Linked DNA regions of Canis lupus familiaris. The protein of the gene in region 2 interacts with the protein of the main gene of each other region in a pairwise test. Links are inferred from orthologs where the notes say so. Each region holds a gene or a part of one and is shown on either strand. Other genes may lie near its edges.

Evidence for each region.
Region 1: the proteins of APOA1 (region 2) and APOC1 interact in a two-hybrid assay, tested with the Homo sapiens proteins (2 studies listed by BioGRID, with this or other methods). The link is inferred for Canis lupus familiaris from reciprocal best matches to the Homo sapiens genes APOA1 and APOC1.

Annotation. Positions count from the first base shown.
Region 1 is NC_049222.1:111,228,196-111,232,702, forward strand, and holds APOC1 (apolipoprotein C-I precursor), read right to left. Parts: upstream 3,056-4,507; 5' UTR 3,030-3,055; intron 2,894-3,029; 5' UTR 2,874-2,893; coding exon 2,816-2,873; intron 2,321-2,815; coding exon 2,173-2,320; intron 872-2,172; coding exon 811-871; 3' UTR 671-810; downstream 1-670. UniProt on the Homo sapiens protein: Inhibitor of lipoprotein binding to the low density lipoprotein (LDL) receptor, LDL receptor-related protein, and very low density lipoprotein (VLDL) receptor.
Region 2 is NC_049226.1:16,767,591-16,771,689, reverse strand, and holds APOA1 (apolipoprotein A-I), read right to left. Parts: upstream 2,747-4,099; 5' UTR 2,654-2,746; intron 2,479-2,653; 5' UTR 2,459-2,478; coding exon 2,416-2,458; intron 2,244-2,415; coding exon 2,090-2,243; intron 1,478-2,089; coding exon 874-1,477; 3' UTR 734-873; downstream 1-733. UniProt on the Homo sapiens protein: Participates in the reverse transport of cholesterol from tissues to the liver for excretion by promoting cholesterol efflux from tissues and by acting as a cofactor for the lecithin cholesterol acyltransferase (LCAT).

The DNA.
Region 1 (4,507 bases), on a different chromosome or scaffold from region 2:
CAGCCCTACCCATTTTTGGCTGCATAACATCACGTAAGTGATTTTAGACTTCTGTCTCAGTTTCTTCCTCTGTAAAATAGGGGCAGAGACAGCACCCACCTACGGGGAGTTTTGTGAAAAGGTAATGTTTAGGGTTTTTGTTTGTTTCGGATTGTGAATAATTATTCCACCAAGTATTACTGAGCGCCTACACCATGCCCAGTCCTGTGTGGGACTATGCCTGGGGACAGTGGTGATGACGTCCTGGCCCAGTCCTCCTGGGCTCACAATCCAGTAGGAAAGACAGACCCATTACTAGGCAGTGATGACCCAGCCTGAGGTCTAAGAAGGGCTTCCTGGAGGAGGGGCATCATCCATTTTAAGTATAATAAAGACCTACTGTTCATGGTGTTGAACCAACCCGGTCCCTCATCTTGGGCAGCCCAGTCGGGAAAGAATATAGCAGAGAAACAGCTCTCCCATTCCTGACAAGTGACTTCACCTCTGTGGGCCCCCATGCCCTCGTGGAATTAACAGGGCCCCTGCTCCCGAGGTTCTTGTGAGGATTTTTTTGAGACCATGAAGTTCAAAGTCCTTGGCACAGGTCAAGTAGACAACGTTCAATACATTTGAATCCTTGCCTCCTCAAAAGATGCAGCCCCCTCTCCCCCCCAGCAAAAGACCACTCAGATTTCTCTATAGGATTTTTATTGGAGGTTGGGGGTAGACATGAACATCATGAAGTCCTTGGCAAGGAGCCAGGGGATGGGAAATTTCAGAGCCCCCTCCTGGGGCACACAGGCCAGAGTAGAGGGGCGGCTCTCCTGGTGTTCAGGAGAAGGCAGTTTTGAGATGCTCCTTCACTTTCTTGAAAGCCTCAGAAAACCAGTTTCTGCAGGGAGAGATGGGGGAGGAGTCACTGAGTTTGGTGTTTCAGGGCAGGTCAGAGGGCCCAAATCCTGCCTCCTACCTGCCTCCCCCATCTTCCCTTTTCCCTTCCCCCAAGGACAGAGCATGGTTCCCACATCTGTGGAACTGGGAGGAGCCCTGGGCTGGATTTCCCAGATGGGCCAGAGCCCTTTGAAGTCAGAACACTCCACCCTGGGCACAACTTTCAAGGCTTGCTATCTCTTGCTACCAAGCCTGCTCTTGGCACGCTGTCCCCTAGTTATTCAGGGGCACTCTTCAGCCTTCTTGTTTTTTGCCCAGGCTGTGTCCCTGGCCTGGATTATGTTCATATCTTCCTGGCTCAGGGCCTTTGCACTCACCCTCCACAGGAACATTCTTCCCATGTTTCTAGGCCTGGCTGGATTTTCCTAATCACTCAGATCTCTCTCTCTCTCTCTCGTTCTCTCTCTCTCTCTCTTTTAAAGTAAGACAGCCAGGCTTCATGTAGGTTTGAACTCACCACCCTGAGATCAAGACTGGAACTGAGATCAAGAGTCTGAAGCTTAACCTACTGAGCCACCCAGGCGCCCTGAAGCAATAACACTTTAAATTGAGATATGAAAAGGGGAGTCTGGCTGGCTCAGGAGGTATTATATACAACTCTTGATCTCAGGGTCATGAGTTCAAGCCCCACACTGGTTGTCTACATCCACCCTGTTTATTGTCTTCTCAGTATTTAGCCCCGTCTGGGCTGACCTGCTGGAAATTCACTGGTTTACAATCTGTTCCCTGTGGGCTGGGACTTTATCTCATTCATCACTATTATTCCCCACACTGGAACAATCCTGGACACTTAGCAGATGCCCAATAAATACTTGTTCATGAATGAATGATCCTCTAATCTAAGTGGCCAAATGGAGTCACTGTTGGTTAAAAAGCATACTGAGCATTTACCATGTGTCAGGCACTATGCAAATCCCCTAGTTTACTTCTCCTCAGAACCATCCATGTAACAGAGGAGGAAGAAGGCTCATCCAGATCTATTCTGGAATCACACAAAGAGAACTGAGTCTTTGCTAGCCTGTGGACCTGGGGTGACTCGACACCCAAGCTCGGCCTTTTACCACCTCACAGGACCACTTCTACACTGTGGCCTAGGTAGGAGTCAGGAACCTGTCCCCCACATCTGGGCACCCTGCGATCCAGCCATGACCACATGGAAGCTGTCAGCCTCTCCAGGTCTCAGTTTCCCCAATCTGTTAATGATATACCCCAGCCCTCCCAAACCCTGAGAAGGTTCCTAACCGGGTCTTTGCAGGAATGTCGCTCTTCTTGATGCTCTCAATGGCTGCCCGGGCCTTGTCTTCCAGGGTGTTACCAAACTCCTTCAGCTTATCCGGGATGCGCTCAAAAGTGCTGGAGATTTCTCCGGCCGCCTGGGCGGGGGCTGGACCTGCCCAGAGACGGGCAGGGTTACAAAAATGTCAGTATTGGGAAGCCTCAGGCTGAGATTCTGGGGACGGGAAAGGAGATCTTTAAATGATTCTTGGAGGTCATGGCTTTAGGCTGGGAAGGGGAGGGGGGAAGATGGACTAAGGCGACCAGATGGAGCTCAAGCTGCCGGGAATTAGCTTACTGTCAGGCCTCCCTCCTCCCCCTCCCCTTTCCAGGTTGTAAAAGCAGGACAGCCAATCCTGGAGGGGCAAGTCAATACATCATCTGTTGCTAGGGCTTCCTGAGGTAGACTTGCCACCTGCCGGCCCTCCCCTTAGAGCACCCTCACCCACCTTGCCCGGTTGGGGGTGGGGTGATTGGTGAGAGATAGGAAAACCAGGGCACAGAAGGGGCCCCAGAGCTCTCAAGCGTCCTCCAAGCTTGGAGCCCAGGCACGTAGGCAGCTTCAAGCTTCCAAATCTCAAACCCCCAGATTCTTCTATCCCGCTTTTACCTTCCAAAACCATCGACAGAACCACCACCAAAACCGGGAGCGACAGAATGAGCCTCATGGCGGGGCCGGAGGGGCTCTCTGGAAGCAGAAGCAGGGGTGGGAGCGATCAGTGACACCCCTCCTCCCTCCCCGGAGTTCCCTCCACCCCTTTTCTAGTGTTCTTGGAGGGGCAGCCCTCCCGGGGCATCAGGGGCATCAGGTATCGAGCACCAACCTGGAGCGGTCTCGGAAAGCGCAGGTGGGAGGTCCTGGCCTGGCCCAGGCCTTTATCGGGCTGGGGTGGAGGCGGGGCAGGTTAATCCCTCCCCTTAAGCCTCCGGGCCGCTGGCCTCCCCCCACTCCCGTGCCCACCCACCATTTCCTCTTCCCTGCCTGGCTGGTGGGCTGCGGGGGTCAGGTGGGCCTGGGCACATCCCTTGTCCCTTAAGCCACTTGCTGTTCAGCACCTGCACCTCTAAATCTCCCTGTTGGTGGATCTCAGCCTGCCATAGTCCCTTCCCTACATGTGAGGGCTGGGGGCGTGTTTCTCCTGCTGAACTCAAGGGTCTCTCTGTCACCGAGCATCTCTGTAATTTGCTGGAACTCTCCAGGCCTCCTCTTCCATCCCCTTTCTCTTCTTAGCAAGCCTCTTCAGCGCAAGCAACTCCCAACTCCATGACTCCAGGGTCACCCAGTCTACCCCCACATTCCTAGACCCTGGCCACTTCCAGTCTCACTTGCAGACCAGCCCTCAAGCCCCCCACCTCTCTGCATCTGGGAGCATCCCAGACCTCCACGGATGTGCTCTGAGGTCTTCATTCCACAGCCCCCTCCCCTGCCCCATGCACATCGATCTTTGGGGCAGGAATCTTTGCAACCTGTCTCAACTGCAAAACCCCAGCTGCAAGGATCCCAGGGTGTGCGCCTCCATCCATTCCACCAGGCCCCTCCTAGCCCTTTGCTCTCCCACTCTGCGAGCTTCCGGGCCCCCTGGTAAACAGTGCATCTGCCCTTGCCCCTTCGGGCCCCTCCTGGCACCAAGCTCTCCCCCCCTCCCCTGTCTCTCCTCCCACCACATCCGTCCCTCAGGGCTGGAGTCCAATGCTTCCCCCCTTCCTCTGGCTGCCTTTGACCGCCAGTGATCCCTGGCAGCTGTGGGGAGGGTGGCCCTGGCCTCAGACTTGAGGTTGGCTGGCCTTGTGCCCCCACAACCACGTGTCAGCCTGGGGGTGGTGGTGGGAGGGGACGGTTATGAAAGGGACGCACAGACATGACCCTGGCAGGATTGCGACAACCCCTTGGCTGGCTCAGTGCATCCAGACCCTGTCAGCCCTCCAGCTGCCTTCCCAGACATCTGCTTCCCCTGCGAGCCTAGCATTCCCCAGACATCCACCCAGAGGTCTCTTCTCCTTCCTTCCCCACCCCACCGGAATAGAAGAATGACTTGGCTTTTCCAGTCTCCTCCTCCTCATGCTAGCTACAGGGGTTTCCATTTACAGATGGGGAAACCGAGGCACAGCCAAGAACATTCAATGGCTCAGCACCATTGGGGCGAAGGGAGGGGTGGCTCTCTGTCTGTCCCCTTTCTGGACTTCAGGCTGCCCCTCTGAATCTCTGAGGGGGATCAGCTTCTGCCCCACAGCACCCCCTGCCAGGCTCTGTTCCCCAAAACTTCTCCAGCCCTGGTGCCATCTCTAGACCTGACTGCTGTCT
Region 2 (4,099 bases):
CGGGATCGAATCCCACATCGGGCTCCCGGTGCATGGAGCCTGCTTCTCCCTCTGCCTGTGTCTCTGCCTCTCTCTCTCTCTCTGTGACTATCATAAATAAATAAAATTAAAAAAAAAAAAAAAAAAGGAAAGGGGCTCATCTTTTTCTTCATTTTTTGAATTACTAAAGGAGGGCAGCCTCTGTGGTGCAGCGGTTTAGCGCTGCCTGCAGCCCGGGGTGTGATCCTGGAGACCCGGGATCGAGTCCCACGTGGGGCTCCCTGCATGGAGCCTGCTTCTCCCTCTGCCTGTGTCTCGGCCTCTCTCTCTCTCTCTCTCTCTGTGTGTCTCTATGAATAAATAAATAAAATCTTAAAAAAAAAAAAAAAAAAAAAAGGAGGCAGGAGCAAAGGCCAAGCCCTCGCGGGAGCCGGGCCCATCCTTCAGCCCCAGGGGCTCCCTGAGGCCCTCCCCGGCTGGCCCGGAGCGCGAGGGCTGCCGGAGGCCCTGCCCTGTTTGCGGCGGGTCCCAGTCCCAGTCGGGAGCTCGCAGGTTCGGGCTCGGGGCGGCGCCCCTCGGACGGGTCCTCCGCGCCCCTGCGTGCGCCCCGCCCCGGGGGAGGGCGCCCCGCGACCTGGCTCCGCAGCGCGGCCTCGCGGGGACCCGGGCCTGCTGCCCTCGGGCCGCGACACCGCAGGGCCCCCCGCCCCCGCCCCCCCCCCCACTCCCTCCGCCCAAGAAAGAACGTCCAGGGTTCGGAGCACATTTTATTGTTTAAAAATCACAGCCGCGGCCTCCAAACCCGCGCGCCCGACACGGGCGTCCCGCGTGGGAAGCGTTTGTTCCGAGGGCCGGGCGGGCGGACAGACGGACGGGGCGGGGGGGGGGGGCGCCTCACTGCGCGTTCAGCTTCTTGGTGGCCTCGTCGATGGCAGCCAGCAGGCTGACCTTGAAGCTCTCCAGCACGGGCAGCAGGCCCTGGCGCAGGTCCTCGAGCGCGGGCCTGGCCTTCTCGCCGAGCGCGCTCAGCTGCTCGCTGGCCCTGGCGTGGTACTCGGCCAGGCTGGCGCCGCCGCCCTCCTTGAGCGCCTGCAGCCGCGCGGCCAGGCGCTCGCGCAGGTCGTCGCTGTAGGGGGCCAGCTGGGCGCGCAGCGCGTCCACGTGGGTGCGCGCGCGGTCCCGCAGCTCCTCGCCCAGCGGGCTCAGCTTCTCCTGCAGCTCCTGCAGCTTCTGGCGCGCGCCCTCGCGCAGCTCCGAGCCCAGCGGCGCCACCTTCTGGCGGTACAGCTCCACCTCCTCCTGCCACTTCTTCTGGAAGTCGTCCAGGTAGGGCTGCACCTTCTGCTTCACCTCCTCCAGGTCCTTGCTCATCTCCTGCCGCAGCACCTCCGTCTCCTTCTCCAGGTTATCCCAGAACTCCTGCGTGACCGGGCCGATCTGTTCGCGCAGCTTGGTCACCGTGCTGCTCAGGCTGTCCCAGTTGTCCAGGAGTTTCAGGCTGCAGGGGCGGGCGGAGCGAGGGCGTCAGGGCTGGCCTCCCGCGGAACCCCGGACAGCGCCCGAGCTGCGGGCCCGGCTCCCCGCGGCGGCCGGCGGTGAGGCCCGAGCAGCAGCTGCCCCCGCCGGGCGCCTCCCCCAGGGCAGCCTCTGGCGCGCACCCCGCGCACCCCGCGCCGCGTGCCCCGGTGCTGATGGACCGAGGAGCCGGGAGACACGGGGCTGGGTCGGGTGCCCCGTGCTGCCCGTCCCCAAAGCCGGGCCTCGAGGACCAGTCCCTATACTCCAGTCCATCGTCCGCTCCGAGAAGGCCGCCGGGTTGCTGGCCGGGAGCAGAGGAGGAAGGAGCTAAGGGTGGGGGGCGCGCTGCCGGGCGCACCTGCTCGGATCTAACCCCTTGCTGGGCGCTCCGTCCCTGTTCTCCCTAAAACGAGTTCTGAGACGGTGGTTATTGGGGGGATCCCGTTCCCGTTTCTCCAGGCCTTCAGTGGGGGCCCAGGAAATAGCAGGTGGGGATTCGGCTGGTCTGGCTGCATTTTCCCGCAGGCCTCTCTGTGCCCCCCAAACCGGCCACCCCTACCCCTGCCCCCTGCACCCCAGGTTGGGTCCATACTTCAGCTGTTTTCCCAGGGCGGAGGCTTCAAACTGGGCCACATAGTCTCTGCCGCTGTCTTTGACTGCGTCCACATACACGGTGGCTAAATCCTTCACCCGATCCCAGGGTGACTGGGGTTCATCTTGCTGCCAGAAGTGCCGAGCCTGGCTCCCTGGGGGTGAGAGGGGAGACCCAGGTCAGGCCCGCTCCAGAGGGCGATCGGGGCTGAAATGCCAGGCTTGCAGGCAGGGGTGAGGGGTCCGGGAGTGCCCAGGAGGGTGGCCCGCAGGAGCGTGGGAGAAGGGCCCCCACAGCAGTGGGCTTCCTAGATTGGGGTCACCTACCCGTGAGGAAGAGCACGGCCAAGGTCAGCAGTGCGGCTTTCATCCTGAAGGGACACAGGGGACCTGCGGGAGAAGAGGGTCCTGGTGAGTGGGGCGGCCGTTAGCGTGGAGGAGCCCTGTGCGCCCCCACCCGTTCTTCTGGGGCAGGAGAGGGTCCCCAGGCAGGGCACAGCCCGCAGCCAGGCCCCCGGAGTCCCAGGGACAGGGCCCGGGCTGGGGGACAGGCAGCGGCACTCACCAGGCGCTCAGGAGCCTGCCGGGCCCGCTCTCCCCGCCTATTTATGTCTCCGGGCAGGGGCAGGGGCCCGGCAGGGAGGCTGATAAGCCCAACCCAGGCCTTGCTGCTGCTGCTCACTGGTCCCAGCCATGTGGAACTCAGAGTTCAAGGATCATCCCTGTCCCCGGGGCCGGACAAATAGAGTGGGCAAACAGGAGGCTGCGCGGGGGCCACCAGGCCAGGGATCAAGGGGTCAGACGGTACTGGGGACTGGGGGGGGGGTGGGGTGGTTGCAGGCTTGCAGGTCCCCAGGATCGGGGTCCTCTGCACCCATCCCTCCTGGTGGTGGTGGTGCTGGGAGGGATGTGTCCCCCACTGTCCCCTGTGCCCGTGGAGCAGGGGAGTGGAGGGACTGAAGCAAGAGACAGCGGCTGGCCAGGGACCGCTGGGCCTCCTCCCGTCAGGAGGTGTGCTCCCCCACAGCCCCTTAGATTCCAGGGAGATTACTTTGCCCCCACCCTGCCTTTCTTCTCCAGAGGCAGCGGTCTTCCCACCAACACGCTGTGGCCTGTTTTGTCCCAACAGGTCAGCAGACCTCTCTGCAGGCTCTCTCAGGCCTCCCAAACCCTTGACCCAAGGGGCCTGTGGTGCCAGGAAGTGACCTGGGGACCCTGGGGAGGGCTCCGTGCTTCCCAGGTAGAGACTTGGGTGGGGGGGGCTCTGACATTTCAAAACAAAATCTAGAGACCCACTCGGAGTTGCCAACTTTTTATTTTGTCGCGTAAAAAAGTCAACCACTGTCTCCCCCAAATGCCACCCTCTGCCGCGCCCAGCACTTCAAAAGAGAAAAGATTTTTTTTTTTTAACATCATGAAAGGGCACAATGTCAGAACAAAGGGCAGGCACTTCAGTTGAATCCGTGTATCTTTGCCTGGTTCCTGTTTACATTGGAGTGCACACAGTGAGGGGCATACCGGACTTTAGGGGTCCCCGCGGGGGTGGGGAGGAGACCTCTGCAGTGGGAGGCCACAGGGGAGCTGGTTACTCGCTTCGCTCTGCCCCCGATTTGCAAAATCCTGGAGGAGGATCGCGAGCCAGTGCTGTAATGTCTCCGAGCCTCGGTTTCCTCTCAGTAGAAGGAGACAAAAATGGCTCGAGCCGTTGGAGGCGCAGGGAGCCCCGGTAACGCAGAGCACCCTGTGCCCGGGCTGTCGGCAGCGCCGCTCGGCAGGGCTTCTCCCGGGAGGCCCAGCGCCTCGGACGCCAGCTCACGGCAGGGCCTGAGTCAGAGCCATCAGCCGGCGGCCTCCCCCCGCCCCGCCACCTTGCACACCAGGAAGCTGGGGACAGGGGAGCCTTGTGCCCTCTGCCTCTGGTCTCTCGGCACGTCGGAGGCAGGGATGGACTTTGGATGCACCCGGGATAGAAATGCACCCTGCATCATCTGCCCAGGAATCTCCCTGCTGT